4 linked regions of the Nothobranchius furzeri genome follow. Each later gene encodes a partner of the first gene's protein in a complex. Links are inferred from orthologs where the notes say so. Each region holds a gene or a part of one and is shown in the gene's direction. Other genes may lie near its edges.

What was found. Proteins that work in one complex are often made in the same cells at the same time.
Region 2: the proteins of strn3 (region 1) and sike1 are in contact, whole or in part, in a crystal structure (PDB 6AKL), measured with the Homo sapiens proteins. The link is inferred for Nothobranchius furzeri from reciprocal best matches to the Homo sapiens genes STRN3 and SIKE1. Residues at the interface, in NP_001077362.1 of Homo sapiens: Arg176, Leu179, Tyr182, Leu183, Val186, Tyr188; in NP_079349.2 of Homo sapiens: Glu96, His97, Ala100, Leu103, Ile104, Ser106, Lys107.
Region 3: strn3 (region 1) and stk26 share a complex: the UniProt entries of both Homo sapiens proteins name them as parts of the core of STRIPAK complex. The link is inferred for Nothobranchius furzeri from reciprocal best matches to the Homo sapiens genes STRN3 and STK26.
Region 4: strn3 (region 1) and ppp2cab share a complex: the UniProt entries of both Homo sapiens proteins name them as parts of the core of STRIPAK complex. The link is inferred for Nothobranchius furzeri from reciprocal best matches to the Homo sapiens genes STRN3 and PPP2CA.

What each region holds. Positions count from the first base shown.
Region 1 is NC_091758.1:17,987,817-17,992,193, forward strand, and holds part of strn3 (striatin-3), read left to right. Parts: intron 1-3,033; coding exon 3,034-3,172; intron 3,173-3,261; coding exon 3,262-3,397; intron 3,398-3,520; coding exon 3,521-3,660; intron 3,661-3,732; coding exon 3,733-3,911; intron 3,912-4,297; coding exon 4,298-4,345; intron 4,346-4,377. UniProt on the Homo sapiens protein: Calmodulin-binding scaffolding protein which is the center of the striatin-interacting phosphatase and kinase (STRIPAK) complexes.
Region 2 is NC_091755.1:53,137,958-53,142,812, forward strand, and holds sike1 (suppressor of IKBKE 1), read left to right. Parts: upstream 1-1,784; 5' UTR 1,785-1,929; coding exon 1,930-2,088; intron 2,089-2,386; coding exon 2,387-2,492; intron 2,493-2,574; coding exon 2,575-2,717; intron 2,718-2,812; coding exon 2,813-2,926; intron 2,927-3,323; coding exon 3,324-3,446; 3' UTR 3,447-4,277; downstream 4,278-4,855. Other genes in the region: micos10 (MICOS complex subunit MIC10), read left to right, coding at 4,645-4,708.
Region 3 is NC_091742.1:86,805,038-86,810,102, forward strand, and holds the start of stk26 (serine/threonine-protein kinase 26), read left to right. Parts: upstream 1-1,994; 5' UTR 1,995-2,274; coding exon 2,275-2,295; intron 2,296-5,065. UniProt on the Homo sapiens protein: Serine/threonine-protein kinase that acts as a mediator of cell growth. Modulates apoptosis. In association with STK24 negatively regulates Golgi reorientation in polarized cell migration upon RHO activation.
Region 4 is NC_091750.1:60,016,602-60,021,626, reverse strand, and holds the start of ppp2cab (serine/threonine-protein phosphatase 2A catalytic subunit alpha isoform), read left to right. Parts: upstream 1-1,954; 5' UTR 1,955-2,109; coding exon 2,110-2,211; intron 2,212-5,025. UniProt on the Homo sapiens protein: Catalytic subunit of protein phosphatase 2A (PP2A), a serine/threonine phosphatase involved in the regulation of a wide variety of enzymes, signal transduction pathways, and cellular events.

The sequences.
Region 1 (4,377 bases):
AAAAATACCAGGCCACCCAGATATGTAAACAACCTACGCTACCCGGCCCGGGCCGACCCGGTACAGATGGTAATGGCACAATTTTTGAGAAAAAAAATCCATCTTCCAGTAAAAGCAAAGCATCCAGCCCACCTCTCCAAATGCGTAAAATGTGCATCACAGCCGCTAGGCGCGCTGCGCGCACCGTCAGCTACGTCAGCCCAGACAAGAGCAGAGCAAATAGAGAAATAATAGAGGATAATTGTGTCTGGATGTGGATGGAGATTACATTTTACAGCAGCCTGATCATCATTTAAATACGTAAACCATCACCTGTCCTCTAGTCCACGCTATCAGCATTATTTTAATTTGTGTGTGTGTGTGTGTGTGTGTGTGTGTGTGTGTGTGTGTGTGTGTGCGTGCGTGCGTGCGTGCGTGCGTGTGTGTGTGTGTGTTTTCCACATCAAACACTGGTCTAATCAACCAGACCAGCATGTCCAGTAACATATTAATGTTACAATTAAACAGTTTCACTTCATGTAGGCTAGGAACATTTCACCTGCCGTGGCCCGACCGCTTCTGCTCCACATAAACTTTGTGCGTGATCAAATGTCTCTACGCGTCATGCGTCTCCATATTAGACACGGGAACAAGCGCTGTTCAGCCTAAGTTTCATAATTTCATAAAAAGAACATTTTTCCAAGTGACACATCCCTCAGAGAGACCGGGTTTCCAGACCGCTTCAGTGGGAGGAAATCTTACCGCATGCGCCGTGGTTCTGCACTGCGCTGCAAACCCCTCTACAGATCTTCAGCTCACTGTCCACCGTGGGCGCTCCGAGCCGCGCTGAGCACAGTGTCCAGTATAAAGCTCTGATGTTCTGATGGGAATCATTTCTTGATTGATTTAGTTACCTCCGCGATGTGCGTAACGATTAAAATGTCAGCTCATCTGTGTGTGCATCAGTGTGCGTCGGGGTAATTCTTTCAAAACAACCAACATCCTTGAGTTTATCTGTCAAAATAAACAGTCAAATGGAAATATCTGTAACCTGCCATTTTACTGTTTTGCCTTCTTGTGAAGATTGTTGCAAAGAGAAACAACTAAACTTGATTAACCCCAGAGCCATGCACACTGCACTGTACTGACTGTAAAATGAGGGGGAAACGATTTAATTGGATCCTTTTCTCTTCAACATGGTTTAATGTAAAGTTTCATTCAGTACAACCTTTAGTTATACCAATCTAACGAGACAGAGCCTTTATTTGTATTCTGAACAGTTTAAACATGTTTAAAACGGAGACATGCGTGACACGTCTAAAATTCGCACCTGCTCCGCTGTTATGGAAATTAAGCTAACAAGATGAATAACATGAAATTATTTTGGGCACAGACAACATCCCCCACACTTTTGAAAAGCTTGAATGTGCCTGTCTGCCCCCACTGTTGATGGGTTGAATCTAGGGCTGGGAGATGTGGCTTCAAATCAGTATCACAGCATGATGAGCAGTTCACATTAAAAACGATGAATGGACGATAATTACCCGTATGCGCAAATACAAAAGTTGTCCACTAGATGGGGCTGTGGCAACATAATCGCTCCACAGCTGGTTTTATTGATGGTAATATTCCCCCACATCTATTCATAGTATGAATAGATGTGGGGGAATAATCAATATTTACTATGAATTTCATAGTAATTATTAATTAATTGCTACTTAAAAATAATGCGCAACTAAGTACTTAAGTAATTTGAGTTGTCAGGTAGTCAGGTTCTCTATAGAGTGGTTGTACTGAATGTTACGTCCTTTATTGGACAAAGCTGATCTTGTCATCTTGCTAACCAGGCTTAAACAATGGGTAGGGATCTCAGGGATTGCTCTGGAGTGGCAGGGGTCTTATCTAACTAGGATGTTGTATGAAGATTGGTAAAGCTCCATCTTACCTCATCTGAGGAGTGCCGCAAGGTTCCATCCTCAGACCCCTTTTATTTACCCTTTACCTGCTTGACATTTCAGAAGTATAAGCTGAGTTTTCATCTACATGCTGACTGTTGTTAAAGCTATTGCCCCATGAAACTGGGATAAAATGGTGCTTTTAAGATTATCCTGGCATGTCTGGAGGAGGTAAATATTTGGCTGGCTTACAGTTTTCTGAGTTTAATGAAAATAAAACAGAGGCCATTGTCTTGCTGCTGTTTTTACAGATTAAACTAAAGACACAGGAACAGACTGTGTTGCTACTTAGGAACCAAAAGACACAATTTTATATACAAATCTGCATCATCCCTTGAGCTATGTGGCCTTTGAAAGACTTCCAGAAGGTCTGAAGAAATGAAGATGGACCTGTTGCCAATCTAGATGGAGTAATGATGTAGTTTTCTTCTGAGACATGGGTTGGGCCTCCATAGAGGGTCACGAATAACGGGTGGGGACCGGAGAAGATCTCCAGAAATCTAAAACATCAAATCATTATTCCTAAAAGCATATTTGTTTAGAAATCTGAAGTTCCCATAATATTCAGGGTTTTGGTAAAGTTCAACCAGTGGTTTTTGGGCTTTCAGGTTGTGGAATGGTGCAAACACATTGAATAGAATAGGATAGACTATTGATCCCACAGAGGGGAAATTCTCTTGTTACTGCAGTATAAACACTTAAGAGAATACTATGAAGAAAAATAATAACAAAGGTACATGTATACACACATAGGCAGTAAGCTAGTATTGTAACCTTCAACCACTAAAAACCACAAATAAAAATGAAAAACTTGGTTCCAGAACCATGCAGCATACTGTAAGGGATGCAGACATACTAAGTTCATCTGGTTTTGCACAAGTATTGAACACATACTGAGTATTGCATTGATGCTTTTGTGTACCAGGATAATACCAGTACAGCTTAAACTGAGGAGTTCTACACTCTTACTGCAGAGGGGATGAATGACCCACAGAAGCGTTCTGTTTTACATCTGGGATGTCTCAGTCTATCTCTGAAGGAGCTGTCCATGGTCTCCAGAGTGGACGTGTGTGTGAACCACATGTGTGTTTGTGTGCAGAATTCCAACTGACAACTTGGAGACGTTCAACTTCTTGGAGAACACAGAGGACAGTGATGAAGATGATGATGAGGAGGGAGACCTAATGGACGACATCACTACGGACAAACACCATCGAGCTAAAAAACATAAAATAAATGTATGTGAAGAGAAACTGTGACTTAGCACCATTTCCCTCCTGTACTCCATTCTCCTGGAACTTTTTTTTCTGCTCTCATGGTCGACCAGGTAGGAAACGAGGGCTTAGCAACAGAGGATGACGCAGACACGGAGGAAGCTTTGAAGGAGTTTGATTTCTTGGTGACGGCAGAGGATGGAGAGGGGGCGGGGGAAGCCCGCAGCTCTGGTGATGGGACAGAGTGGGGTGAGATAGTCATCACACGTTAGCCAGCCAATGATCAAATGCAGAAATAAAACATGACGCATGTCTGAATGTTGGTGTCTGGACGTTTTGGACACAAGTGAATTTATCTGAGTCTCTCTGCAGCAGAGCCTCTACCCTTTTCCACTGCTGGGGGAAAGTCCTTCTTACTGGGGGGGTCTGATGATGTTCTGGAAAGCGTGCTGGGTTTGGGGGACCTTGCTGACCTCACCGTCGCCAACGATGAGGTGGACTTTGGCTACGATGTGAGGAAATGAAACTCAGTGGAACTCTGTCTGAATTCCTGATAAATGAGCTCACTCTGGTTTTGTCCTCAGCTCTCCTCCAGTAAAGAGTCTTCCTTCAGGAAGACCTGGAACCCCAAGTACACGTTACGGAGCCACTTTGATGGGGTCCGAGGGTTGGCGTTCCACCCTGTGGAGCCCTGCCTGGTCACAGTGTCTGAAGACCACACGCTCAAACTGTGGAACCTCACCAAGACCGTCCCAGCCAAAAAGTATGTGTTCTGATTTCTGGGCCCTCACTGGGTACAGGAGCTGCATCAGCTCAGGGTGTTGGTGGCTTTTAGTCGTTCCTGTGATCTTCTCTCACCTACACGACGTCGTCAGACACAGGTCCTCTGAGCTCACCAGGGACACTTCAGCTTTCTTTTACTCAGAAAAAAACTACAAATGAAAAACACAATGAGACACTAGGAACCAGGTGAGAACATTCAGACTGCTGATTCGTTAGATATTCCAGGGGCGTGGCTTCCAGACATATATACAGTTAGCAGGTTGTGTGTTATGATCAGATAAGGAGTTTGTAAAATGCTCGGAAGCTTTCAGGATTGATGTTTATTTAGAACACCAATAACAGGTGTGATGACATTCTGTGTTCCAGAAGTGCCTCGTTCGACGTGGAACCGGTCTACACCTTCAGGGGTCACATGTATGTATCAGAACCAATGTGGAACATTAACA
Region 2 (4,855 bases), on another chromosome or scaffold:
AACTTACTTCCAGATAAATTTCAAGTGTGGTAAAGACTAAGTCCCCCCCCAGGAAAATATTTTATGGCATAATTTGTGATTTCAACACAGGTAAACAAAACAAAAAAATACTTCCAGTCATGATACAAGCAGTTTATAATCAGTGTACCACTGTTTTATGAAACAGCATAAAACAGGCAAAACATGCCAGTTAAGTACCAGTGACCCTGATGATGTCTGAGCAAGAAAGAGCATTGCTTTGCCAGGGCCAAGCATGTGACTTCCTGACAATCCGCTATTCTCAGCTGGAAGAGTCAAAGTGACCCGAGCAATTGTGCTGAACACCACGATAAAAAGCGTTTCAATTTTAATTAAAAACTCGTCACAAACCCAGAAATTAAAATACACATCCATGAGTAAAAAACAAGCATAATGGTGAATAAAACCTGACTAAAATAAAATTATAAACGCCTCAGACTTCTAAAGAAACGTTGCTCAGGCTACAATGCCACGTATTCTTCATTTGATTTTAATAAATGGTATATTGATACTTTCGAAAAAATATAAACAAAGATGCTTTCTTTCAAGAGAAGTACGTCGTATAAATTGTTTTTTGTAATTATTTGGAAAACTTAAGAATAAACGTAAAGGTCCAGTTTAAGGTGTATCGTTAAGAAGTAGGTTGGCACATTTGCGACATCATCCAGCTGAAACAAATGCAAAAACCAAAATGGGAATTAGATCAAAACCAATTTTAAATCCGAAATTTGTCAGACGGCTAATCAAGTCCGATACAACACACATGCGCTAAAACGTGTTTGATTTCCTAACAGATCGAGGGTAAACGAAGAAAACACCGCGGCTAACGGCACGAGGATGATGGAAAACAAAGAAACTACCTACAAAGCTCGCGTCTACAAAAGTTGTGCACCAACTAGAAACGTCTTAAGTGTTAGAATGGCCAAAGTAGCATGTCTTCGGTACTTTAGACACGTCAAAGAAACGCCAGCTTGCTATTTAACCGTCGCTCGGTCGTTTGGAACGTTAGCTCGTTAGCCAGAGCACGCTGCTGTGGCCCGAGAAAAAACAAGGCATCCCCACCCAGGCCCGACTTCTGCTGTACACCGCCCGTTCGCTTTGGTGACCCCGCCTGAATTATAAAAAAATTAAATGCGAAATAAGACATTTAAATATATCTCAACGGTTTACCAAGCAGAGAAAAATAATATAAAACTCACCCCAACAGCTTTTAGCACTGTCACCAGCGCCGCTAGAAGCAGCACGGCACATTACGTAGTGATTAGGGAGACAGCTCCCGCGATATTTGACGAAGGCTAGGGAAGCCTCTGCAGCTGGCTCTGTTGTCACGCATGGGTTCATGGGAAATGATGTTCAGTTGTTTTGAAGTAAATAATCGGGCTCAACCTGGGCTCAACCGAGGTTTAAAAGGCATTAAATGCTTAATATGCAGTAAAGTATGCTATTAAATGTTAAAACGGCTTTTCCCACAGGTCTGCGCACCAGACACTCATGAAGATAGTTGGATAATGAAATTATTCAGAAAATGTCTATGCACACGGTTTCCTTGCCGAGAATGAGAAAACCAAAGGATTCGTAAACATTTTTACGTCTACGATGATACGTTTGACGGCAAGATACTTGTTTACGGTACAATCCCGGAAGTGACGCTATATTTTTTCCTCTCGAATACGAAGTTGCCAACAAAAAGAGGGATTTCTTTTGTTATACATTGTCCTGGTTTAATTAGTCATCTGTCTCTTGAGAAATGATCTAGGAGGGTCCGCTGAGATATGAATATTTGTTTGTAAAACATTTTTGTGCGTTTGAACAGCATAGCCAGCGTAAGCTACAGTACGGGCAAATTTTCGCCTGATCAAACTGGTATTTGGAAGCTTTAGTTTACAAATACGACTAGTCACTTAATAGCTAATGGCCTGTACTTTTGAAAAAGTGTTGGGGGATGCTAGGACCCTCCTGGAAAGGCTGAAAGAGCACGATACGGCTGCTGAGGGACTGATCGAGCAATCCGGGGCCCTCAGCCAGAGAGTGCAGGGCATGAGGGAGGTGGGCAATGCTCTTCCAGACAAGGTAAGATGGTCTCTCACACATAAACGTTGGGTGAAAGTATATTTATATTAGAAGGCTGACTTAAGCCATGCATTAAGGATTTGGGGTTGCAGGTAAGCTTAAAATGACACTCTTCTCTAACTCTACTCAAGTACTTAGACATTTTGAGATAGAAGGTCTGATCGTCCAAAAAAGTACACCAGCCTTTAAAAGCATATTTAAATAATGGGAATTATTTATCAAGAGGTGGAACAGTCATCCAACTAGTGCTTAAAATGTATTTTTTACTTATGACATTTTCCTTGTTGCTGCCTTTTAGCACACAGAAGACAGCTCAGAGATTCGGGAACTCACAAAATACAAGCCTCACATCCTTCTGACTCAAGAAAACACTCAAATCAAGGAATTGCAGCAAGAGAATAAAGGTAAAATCCTTACAATGTTTTTAGGTATTTTTAGAGTTCATGTGTTTGTCTGTAATTTTTGTCTTCGCCACTGTTTCCGCAGAACTATGGCTGTCCCTTGAAGAGCACCAGTACACACTAGAACTGATCATGGGTCGATATCGCAAGCAGATGCTCCAGCTGATGATGGCAAAAAAGGAGCTGGACACGAAACCAGTGCTCAGACTACACCAAGACTACGTCAAAGTACACCAACTTTCATTGTGCTGTGAACATTCCCAGTCATGTAATTTTCTGACAGAAAAAGGGGTTTGAAGTTATGCTTTCTGAATCTTATCCAGGAAGTGCAAAGCCAGGTGGAACGGATATGTGAGATGGGCCAAGTGATGAGGAGAGCCATGCAGGTGGACGATCAGCACTTCTGCTCTGTTCAAGAGAGGCTTGCTCAACTGGAGGTAAGGACTGGAATGGCAGTCGTGATGTCAGGAGTTATCATTAAGCTTTTAAAAGGCAAAATCAGTGACTCTAAGGCTTTGAAACAGCTCAGGAAATTAGCATGAGTCTACAAACACACACAAGGCTTAGTGCTGCTAGCATAAAAACTGTTGGAGTTTCTCAGGTTTTCTTGTTTGCTAGTTTCCTGGAGCGTATGGTGCAGCATTAGATTATGAATGAAAATATCTGGACACACCTGAGATCAACTTAGAAACTCTTTGAGATGACTTTCTTGACTCATTCTGGTTAAAATGTTGATTCAATAAACCAAACTCGCATAGATACAACCATCTTGCATGGACTGGTGATAACGAGTAATCTACACGAGGTTACGTTTGGTTATCCGGGCTCTTTCAGATTGAGAACAAGGAGCTTCGGGACCTTCTGGCCATCAGCCAGGCATCTGTGAAGATGGGAAATGAAGAGAGCCACCAGCCATCAACACCAGCAGCAGCAGTGCCCTCAGGCAGTGACCAATGAGTGACCCGAGCAGCTGCAGTCTGAACTGATCAGGTGGAACAACCAACCAAACAGGAAGAGCTTTTTCTTTTTTAAGCACAACCTAGATTGCAGAATAATGTTTGTAAAAGTAATTTAAATTCAACATTAAAGCCATCAGAAGCATTTAACTACCAGTGGGTATATCATTATGATAGATATCTTTATGTACAGTAGTTGTGTTTTCACTGCAGCAATGTTGGGAGTGAATTCCTCATAAACGAACGGAGTTTGACTGAGGTGCTTTGGGTATCACTGGTTTATTTTATATTTATCTAAATGCTGAAGTGAAGCTGAGGGAGATTTATTTTTGTTTAGAATGGAGAAAGGATGAGTTTAATCTTTTAAGAACATAAAAAAGTAAAATGCCCAAAAAGTAAAATGCCTCTGTTTTAAACGCTAACTTGTACACCACGTGTGATGTTGTGTTCATCGCCAAGAAAATGACTATTGGCTGTTTCACAAAACAAAATGCCTGCGCTGGAATGACAGTGGGCAGTTTTTTAAAGAGATTGTAAATTTATAAATGTACATTTTGTCTGCCATAGTTGATTGTTATGCTTACAACATGATAAATACCAGTTTTTACTCTGAATTTTTAGATTGGATTGCAGAGTAAATGTGTAATAGTTGACTGCACATCTTTCTCACGGTAACATTTTGTAAGCATTACTTTTTTGAGTGTTATGTACTTGTGCACTGTTATTTTGTCATGAACTGTAAATGTCATCTCAGGAAATTACTGTTGGTTAAGTGAACATGTTTATGGAAGTGTAATTATTTGTGTAAAATAAAACTCGTTCTGAAAACTAAGTCATATTACCTTATGGTGAAGTTTTTGTTGATAAAACACAAAAACCTTATTTTTTAATTCAGGGTTTCACCGCTAGGTGGTGATTTTAAGCTCTTCTGATTGTGACAATGAGACGTTTGGAAAAACATCGCTCCAATAACATTTAAGTGGGAAAAAGCACCAAAAAACGTTAATTTATTTCAAGGCTTCAAAGTATTTTTATCATTGTCGATTATTTGATAAGATTTCATAAATGACGTGGTGAAATAATGGGAACTGCACCGCAATTTTCTTGTTATTCTAAATTTGATTTTCACAACTTGAATATTTTCCGGGTGACCTAAACGCAGCACCAGAGTCACATACCTGGAGCGAAGCTAAGTCAGGATGTCTGAGAAGGAGCTCGGTAAAAAGTGGGACCGGTGCCTCGCAGACGGTGTCATTAAACTTGGTAAATGTTTCCAAGTGTTCGTGTGATACTGTTACTTTAGTGTCCTGGAAAAGGGACAAAGAAAGCTGTTTTACTGTTTCACGCAGCTGTCATTGACTGCCTGGAAGGTTGGCTAACTAGCCAGCTAGCATGCTAGCAAAGGGCTTG
Region 3 (5,065 bases), on another chromosome or scaffold:
CTGCTAGCAGCTATGGATGCAGCTTGTGATGACATCACAGCAGAGTCCTGCAGAGGGTGGATTCGACACTCCAGGAGATACTTTCCCCGATGCATCGATAGAGCTGACATTCCCTGTGATGATGACGAAAATATGTTGGCAGACAGATGGGAGCGTGTAGATATTACAGTTTTTCTCAGTCGCTTTGGTGCGTTTCTCAGAACACTATTAACATTTGCACAGCAGTTAGTGCATTTCTCAAAACAATTCGTGCAAACTGCAAAACCTAGTGGATAGCCTGCAAAAGGACGTCACATGCTCAAAATTGATAATCCATTCCTCAAAAGCAAGTATTCATGTCAATGAAACTGTCAGTGCCATCAAAATGAAAAGTCTTGACACCATCTTTATGAACAAGATAGTCAAATGGCTTTGTCATGTTTTCACCATGACAGTTTATAATTTCAGTGTTTTCCATTGCAAGAGTATTTGGTGACACCTGAAAATGCTCAAGACAGCACTATGCCCTACTTGTACAGCCATTTGAAATGTGCAGTAAAGTTACTGTAGATGTTATGGGAGTTTTGGGAGTAACTCAGACACTGAATACGTACGTTTTACATTTTTACTGTACAGAAGTGTTTGTAATTCTGCAGCATTGTGCAAAAGAAAATATGCTACAGTCACTTGTTTACTGTAGAATACATGTAAACAAAAAATCACCCTTTGGTAGAGCTGTGCACAAATGTGAACAATATACAGTACATGTAACAGTACATACAGTATTGCACAGTACTGTAACATACAGATACAGTAAATCATTCTGGCATTTCCAGACGTTCCTGTCTGTCTGGCCACAAATTTTCATCTACATCACAGCGGATGTCATCCCTCGCAATGCAGCGAGGAAAGTATCTCCTGGTGTGGCGAATCCATCCTCTGCAGGACTCTGCTGTGATGTCACCACAAGCTGCATCCATAGCTGCTAGCAGGGCCATTTGGGTATGTGGATGCCTGCCATATACCTTCCACCTCAGCGAAGAGGAAAAACTCCTCAGTTGGATTTAGGAATGGAGTGTAAGGAGGAAGAAACTCCCTAAGCATCCTGTCGTGTGCTGCAAACCACTGGCTGACTACAGCAGAGTGATGGAAGCTAACATTATCCCAAACCATTACATACATTGTCCGATTGTCACCAGGACACACACCAATTTTCATTAGTGTGAGAAAAGGTTCACCTGAGAAAAGTAATTAATGGAGATTTCCATGGAAACTCCTTAAAATAGGGTTTTCAAAATGGGTGTACAAATTGTTTGACAAGATGTTCAACAATTTTGAGTGCAATGACACGAGCAATGAAATGAAGACTATTAGTTGTAAGGGCAATGACTATTCAGCCGGTACAAGTATAAAGAATTGTGACATTCATGATAAAAGCAAGGAGATAGTGATGAATAGCAAGTCAAAAGTGAATTCTTTAGACATTTGTACTTACTCAACTGCTTCATGTCCAAAGGCATTTGCCTTTGACTGAAATGAACATGAAACTGCCACTAGGTTGTGCCAAAATGACTACATGTTGTGGAGGTTGAACCAACTGTTGTGCAAAGTTTAATTCTGTTGTGAGAAATGCACCAAAGCAACTGAGAAAAACTGTAATAATAATAATAATAATAATAATAATAATAATAATAATAATAATAATAATAATATCAATGACGAAGAAATGAAGAGGGCTAAAAGAAAATGCAGCCTGGAAAGGGGCAAGAGTAGGAAAGGAGTGAAAAGTGCAAGATGCATTTGAATGCATCACGAATGGTTAGAAATTTCATAAAAGTTATGCAAAGGGATAATGTTATTATTTATGTTCAGTCAGACAGACGATAGATAGATAGATAGATAGATAGATAGATAGATAGATAGATAGATAGATAGATAGATAGATAGATAGATAGATAGATAGATAGACAGACAGCCACCAGGGGGCAGCAGTAGTACTCCTGTGGGGGTGCAGCTCCACCGCTCGCTCCTCCTAGAAGTAGGCGGCTACCAGCTCGTCATCCTCGTTTGTTTGCTCCACACTTTTTTTCATGCGGACTTTGTCACACAGTTTTGTCGTCCGTCCATTTCATTCTCTTGCAAACAAACGGAGTCGGAAGTACCCGCTCGCTTCGAAGTCCACTCGCTCTATTCCTCTAAAGTCAAGTTTGACCTCGAAACAGAAGAAGAAGAAAAGCCGGAGTCGAAAAGGAGGAAAACGGAGGAACCTGGAGGAGGAAAAAGGTCGAAGTAACCATGGAAGTTCCTGGTATGCAGGTGAGTGCAAAGGTGGATCCGTTCACTGGTTTGTCAGGGGTTTGGGGTCCTTTTCGGGCCGGGCTCGGACAAAGTAAAGCAGTGAGGCAACAAGGAAGGAGGGATTGGGAAACTAGAGGCCGTTTCTGTGTTTCTGGTCTTACCTGAAGACAAAAAGCCTTCAGAAGTCAGACAGCCCGTCTCGTCTCCACACCCAGGAAAGAGAGGGCTCTGCCAGGACTTCTCATGGCTGTGCGAGCCTTTTATATATTTGTTTACTACAACTCCTCGTCTCTAATACACCCACCTGTGGACTGTTTCTATGTACTGAGCTTCTTTGGCTGTTTGTGATCATCGAAGTGCACAAAAACAGAGTTAGCGATGGTTTTGGTGTGTTGACATGTCTGAAACAGACTTGTGTTTATTATGGTTAGTGTCTGGTTTATAAACCCCAGCTCGATGCTTAAAGGGAATTAGGGTTTTAAGGTATGGCTTTTGTAACTTTTTATTACTCAGAACTTAGCCTGCTTATCTATCTATCTATCTATCTATCTATCTATCTATCTATCTATCTATCTATCTATCTATCTATCTATCTATCTATCTATCTATCTATCTATCAGCTATCTATCTATCTATCTATCTATCTATCTATCAGCTATCTATCGTGTGTGTGTGTGTGTGTGTGTGTGTGTGTGTGTGTGTGTGTGTGTGTGTGTGTGTGTGTGTGTGTGTGTGTGTGTGTGTGAGATTGTTAACAGATAGTTGTTACTGTGTTATAACTGCTGCAGATAAATTTACAGTGGCTTCTCAGCAGGTTTCAGTTCAGATGGCCTTTTTCTCATTCATTTTATGTTCCCTTTCCTCACTTTTTTTACAATTTAATATTTCGGATGTTTTAATATTTGAAAATGTTTTCAATTTCTTAATTTTGTTTTAATTTTTTGTTCTTGTGGAGAGATTTTTATCTTGAGAGGCGCTATATAAAAGACCGTTTCTTCTTCTTCTGTGTCACCCTAAAAGGATTTATCAATTCTCAATAACTTTGTAACCTTATCAAGTGTTCTACGTACGTTAGTGTGACATTTGCTTATTTATGTGAATTAAAACCTATTTTGAGTATTAGGCAAGGAAATGCAGCTTTATTTATTGAGCACATTTCTAACACAGAGGCAATTCAGTGTGCAAATATTATGGGTATTATAGTTACAACAAAGCTGTGCAAAAATCCTATTCTTTGCCAATTTCAATCACAAAAATGACCTAATTGACCAATAATCAATATTTCATTATCATCAAAAGTATTTAGTGGTCATTTGCTTTGCATCGAAGCGTGCAACTGCCCTGAAGAAGGTCGCACGTGACCGAAATGTGTCGGTTTATATTATAATAAATTATTTTTGGGAGTGCCTCAAATCACGATTTTTTTTTCCAATATCTACTTTTGAAGTTTTTATGATCTTGAAGAGTGCCCGAGATACTACAGAAATTATAGATCTATCTAGTCGCACTGATGCACTCACTCCCATCTGTTTGAATCTATAATTTTATTCATTTTTATCTTTGTAAATGAGACAAACCATGGTAGAATGAGAGCAAAACACACCGGCAGTGTCGGACACAACTCAAATAGACAGTTCTAACACCACATGCAGCTTTCAGTGATGTTCTTCTATAAGGGTCAGCTTCCAAATGGGGAAATTTTCCGGAGGGAAAAAAAATAGTCATGCACTCTGGTTTTCCTGCTCGGACCTCTAAGGCTCCAATAGCAGCTTCAGGCACCTTCGTGTGGACCGATATTGAGGTGCTCTTAAATGCGAAAGGTGTTTGGACAATCAATAAATGTTTCTGTAAACATGTGATGTTGGGGCGTTTTTGTCGCATGTGTTGACGTGAAACCTAAAGTGCTGACAACGAAGAATTTGTAGATCTTCACTTTGGCCGGGGTTTCTGAAAGGATCGTTTTTGGTGGCGTTGATCTTCACTTTCATGCCGGCGACAGGCCAGGGATACCTAGCTACGTACATGGCCTCAGACTCTACTCATGCTACTTTTAGCTCCGTTTTAATGTTTTATCATTTTAATTAATCCAGATCCATCTTGAATTATTTTTGATTCATTTAGATTTTTTCCTTTACATTTTATTATTATGAGTCTGTTGTTTTAGTTTCACTGATAATTTTCCTGTGTGAACTCGTTTTGTGGTTTAAGTTTGAAATTCCTGCGTGAGTGTGTTCTTTAGGCCACAAGCCTGTGATATCTCTTACCCTCTGATTAAAATGACCTAATGCTGCTTTTAATATATTTGTACTGCTTCCAAAGTCACTTGAGTGTATTTATAGCTCAACCCCTTTTTCTGCTAGATACGGTTTTGCAATAAGATGCTAGGTGTGTTTTAGTTCAGCAGCTCGCTTTGTTCCCACGTTGCTTAGCAGCTTTGTGTTTGTATTTACCTTTCATGGATTTTACTGTTTTACTTGCTCTAGAATCTATGGTGGTGATTGTTAAAGGTAAATGTCGTTTCCTGCCAGTAAGAAGGCGTGTAACGAGAGTAACGCATTGTAAAAGCTGCCATTTGGCCTCCTGTTTGGCCGGCTTTCAGGTGTGTCTACCTGTGGGACCTGCTTGCTCTGTTGGTCCCAGGTGGGAGGGTCAGGTGTGTTGTCACAGGCTGGTTGAGTCAACACTCACCTGACGCCCGGCGGCAGCTGCAGCAGCTGACACAGACGTCTGCTGTACCTGCCAAGACGCCCAGTCATGCATAGTAGAGCGTGTCATCTGCGCATCTAGA
Region 4 (5,025 bases), on another chromosome or scaffold:
TCTTTGCAGCCTCAGCCAAATATTAGAAATTCGAAGGGGGGTGATTGACGTTATTGTGAATATTAAAAAGAGAATTTGTTGATTTTGTATTTTGTCCTTTCCTCTTAGCTGGCCACATGCTGACCACATAAATAAACATGGACATATCAGAGAAGGATGTAAGAAGTCAAGAAAATTCAATGTTTTTTTTTCTAGGAAATATTGTTTGATTTGATTTTTTAAGTCAGTGTCACGTAAAAAAAATCACTGAAAATGAACAAATAAAATGTTAAAACCGCATAATTTTAAAAACATAAAAAAATGCTCTAAAACAATTTATCACACAAATATAATGATTGATATGGCAAAAATAAATGCATTTTATTTGTTTTTTTATCTGACCATAATGCTTAAAGTATAGTTAGAAATGTATAAGTTATGCCTGTAATTTGTAAAACAAAAGCAAGTGCAAAGAAACTGCATGTAAATCAGAAGAATGTTTTAATCTTATGTTTACAGCACCATGACCACGCCCCTTTCATCTAATGTGGACTGCATCGCCTGATGCAACAGATATTTCGAGAGTATTCCAGAAACACAATGGTGCCATCATCTGAGTAGTTTTGTTAAATGTCATTTAGCAGATACAACAAAGTACATTTAGAATGTAAACACAAATCCATGTAACTCGGTTTACAGATGTGGCCGTTTTTCTGTTGGACTGTTTTGTGTGTTTGTCACTACCTGAAGCACGTGGACACAGTGTAAAGCTTAATTTTTATATTGTTTACGCAGCCCAAATAAAAGGACATCATACACAACATACTGAATTCATATCGTAATTCGAGTGAGCAGCGGTGACGTATTCCCTAAAACGAGTTGTAACTTGTTCTTTGATGAATGAGGAGCCAATGAAATTGCAGAGGAAGCTGCTTTGTGAACCAATCACTGAGCTGCTATCATCGGCTCGCCCTGCTGTACGTGAAGTTGGACGTAAACCTAGACCGGAAATGTAAGATTTTATTTGGAGAATAAAGGTTTAATACAAAAGGGAACATTAAAATGAAATAAAAGCTATTGTATGTCCCCAAATTACTCTAAGTAAGAAACAATGGGTTATCTTTTTTCTCAGCTAATCTTTAAAAAAGGTATATTACAGATTCATAATTGGTATATAGCAACTTTTGCATAATTAAGAAGAAGAAAGGTTGTTTTATATAGAGCCTTTATAGCTAAAAATCACAAGGCACTTCACAAGCTCTATAAAAATGTAATTGAAAAAAATATATACACATATATTTTTCTTTATATATAAAGAAATTTAAAATTAAAATAAAAAACAATATTATTAGACAACCACAACTCTGATTCACTGTTCTGTCCTGCTAAAAGACATAAATAAATAAATACAAGCTATGTCATTGTCATGTTTACACTGGAAAGATCTGTTGCATCGGGTGATGAAAAGGCGTTGTGACTGTAATGTTAACATGAGATTTTAAAGCTAATTTTAAAAATCATTCTTCTATTTTGCTCTTTTTCATGTTTTATAAATCACAAATTTCTAACCACTTTAAGGATTAACATATTGTTTACAACTAAAGTAGATGTTTACAATGATAAACTAAGAGTTATTATGCAAGACTGTGTACAAATTTCAGTTTGAATTGAAAAGACTTTAAATTTTCTGACAATTATCTAAAAATGCTTTACTGACACATATCCTGCCATCTTCTCTGCTTTTAAGATACATTTTGAAGCAATTTGAAAAACAGAACAGTCTTTTTAAAAACTCATTTGGTTGTTATGTAGCTTATTTTAAATTTGAATTCACAGTAACGACGTGGTGCTTTTATTTAGAAAGTCTTAACCGGAACTGCTTTGTATAACAACAAACGACTTGATACAAGTGAATCGCCGGCTGGCGCTTCTCCCTCTTCTTCAGTTGTTCCCTTCAGTCAAATCGTAGCGATCTGGAAGTGGATGCATCTGCTCGCTGAGGGTCCTTTAGCCTCTGCTCTGCCCGGCTTGTAAACTCAAAAGAGTAGGGTCTCAAAAAACGGGTAGCAGAGGCGGGTTTTTAACCAAACTACACGCCGCTTCGGTAAGGAAACACAAAAAAAAACAGCAATGGACGAAAAGGCGTTCACGAAAGATCTGGACCAGTGGATTGAGCAGCTGAACGAATGCAAACAGCTATCCGAAGGACAAGTGAAGGCGCTATGTGAAAAGGTGAGATGGAAATAAATTGTTATAAAAAAAACTAACATTGTCTGCAACAGCTATCGTCGTTCAGACATTTTTAAAATGGCGTCGATAGTGTAGATTTCATAGTGAGGTGCGTTTTTTCATAACTTTAGGCTAGGCTACATTAATTACAGCCGCCTGTTTGGATCGTTGCTAGCTTAATTCCAGTCACACAGCATATTTACATCCCTCCTCATCCTATAGACAGCATCCGCGTCAGTTACTGAACCCTGGGAGTAACTCAGCCTTAATGGATAAAATATGTTTAAAAACAATATTTTTATCAGTGCCGCACAAACATGAACTCGATAATTAATTTTATTTTTTTTTCCAGAGGATGTGAAGTTATCCTGTTGGCATGATCTGTTTACATGTTTTTTTATTTATACTTTCATTGAGACAGTCTTGTCTCATTAAAATTAAACGGTACACTATTTTTGGGCAGAAACTAGAGCCTAAAAATAGGTTTAAATTGATCTCACGGGCCTCTGGGATCTATTATTTTAGTCTGACAAATCAATTCAAGCATCTTTATGTGGTTGTTTTTGTGCTCACAGAAGCTCCAAGACTGACGTTTGACCTTTCAGCCACTTCACTGGTGTTTATTTATTTAAGCCAGTTTCTTTGTGATAAGTAAAGGAAAAATTAGATGTAAGATTTCTGCATTGGCTAAATCCAAGTCCAAAAGTCCAACACTGATTCCTGCAGTTTAAAGCCATCCATCCTAAAAAACCTTTGCAGATTTCCAGATCTAAATGATGACCTGATGGGCTAGTGGGAAAATATCAGCAATGATCTTTAATCAGATTCTCTAATAATGCTTTTGTGTTATTATGTTGATCTGTTTTTTGTTCATGTGATAAAACATGCAGGGTTCCAGAATATACCGACAGAAGGCTACGTTTGGATGGGCTTTATTTATCTTTTTACCTGCATCTAGTCTCGAGCAGATCATAAATATCAACATTTTTTTTCTAGATCAGCTGTAATGTTTGCTTCCTGTAGTTTTAAAAATGTCCCCGTTGCACCGTGGGCCAAGACCTCAGTCTCCATGGGTCTGGCCTCAGCTGTGACTCAAATTACTGCTTTGTTTTGTCTCCGTCCGCCAAAAGAGATGAGGTGTTTTGGTTTCATTTATTTTTTATCTTAAAGTGATCGGTTTCATTTAGTCCTTAAAACAACAGAAATGGAGGATATGTTTGGTTTAATGACAACCATGAGGTCAGTTGAACCCCCCCCCCCACTTCATCCACCCCTCCATCTTTTCTCCTGTGCACTTTTGCTAAAATTTCCAGCAAAACACCCACACAACATCCTCCTCACTTTAAAAATAGCAGAGGATGTGATTGATTGTGAGTTGCATCACCAGCAGCACCATCAAAGCTTTGTTGCTACGGAGATCAGACTGTGAGACTGAGGACAGCAGTGTGTTGTGACTCAGAGAGCCAGCCATCTCTGTTATGGGATGTGTGTGTGAAGGAAAGTGATGTGCTATGTAATCACTTCTCAGTCATTTTCTTCCTTTCCAGCTTTCTCAGCAAAAACTGCTGCAGTTTCTTCCAGTAGGTGGCTAAATAATGAAGTTTTATAGTTCAGTCAGCTCTTGGTGGCCTGAATATATCTGGAAAATTAAAAGATTAGTGAATCAATTGGTTAATTACATAGAGAAAATGTGTTGTTCCCCTCTTGGCGATCTTTTTTCTCGGTTAAAATAAAATTAGTTGTCATAAATAAGCTCTTTATTTTTGCCTCACGTAACAAAATGCAAAATTCAGATTTCTGTCCCTATTTGAGTGCAACAATCATGTGGCATCACATAAGGTCAGACAGTGATGTAATGTGTCGATGGTCGCCCTACCTAGAGTACCTCTGCGGGACCCGTTTCAAGACAGAAGCAGTAAGAAAAGCCGTCTGTAGGGCGGCTAAAGCAGTTTAACCTTTAACCACAGTCATCATGTGTGACATCATCATTTCTGGTTGCAGTTTCTCCTCATCATCGGGTGTTATCGCTCCAAGTTGTTGTGTGGAAACACTTTGCTCGTTTTAATGGGATTGCTCTTACTCAGAAAACGCTGACTTGGTTTCTCTGTGCTTGCGCGGTTTGTTGACTGACGTCGTTTTGGGCAGAGCTGGAATTTGGCAGGGCGTGCCTCGTCCTCGCCGCTCTGGCAGGTGTGGTTGGAACTTTAGACGAGGTGTTTACGTAATGGCTGTTGGTATTTTTTCTACACCTGGATTGACATCATCATCATCATCATCATCATCTCTCGTAGATGATGAAGAGATTGAAGAAGAAGGTCACATCTTCATCCAGCTTTATGTAATCTCTGATTAGAGCTTAATCCTGTGCGGTGTTTTATTTATTATTATTATTATTTTTGTGTTGATTGTTATTGCGTTATGTCATCCTAACAATCTAATTTTGAGAAGGATGACTGGTTTCATTTAGTTTTTAGGCGATTGCCTTTGTGTTTTTTAAAGCTGCTGAGTCATCAGGCTTTTGGTTTAAAATGTAACCCAAATAAGCTCGAGGGGAGTGATCGATGGAGTTGTGCCATTGCGACCACCAGCAGCTTCAGCTGCACCCAGGGGTCCAGTTCGACAGGGATTTCTTAGTTTAGCAGCGATTATAAAATTTACACAGAAACGAGCTTCGAAAACATCCCCAAAGTCCTTATTTTTTGAGTACATGTATCGTTTCTGCTCTTTTTGAACATCACCTGATTTCTCCGTAAGCTGAAACGACCCGAGGGTTTCCAGCAGGTGTTGATGGACGAGTTTGGCTCAGAACCTGATACG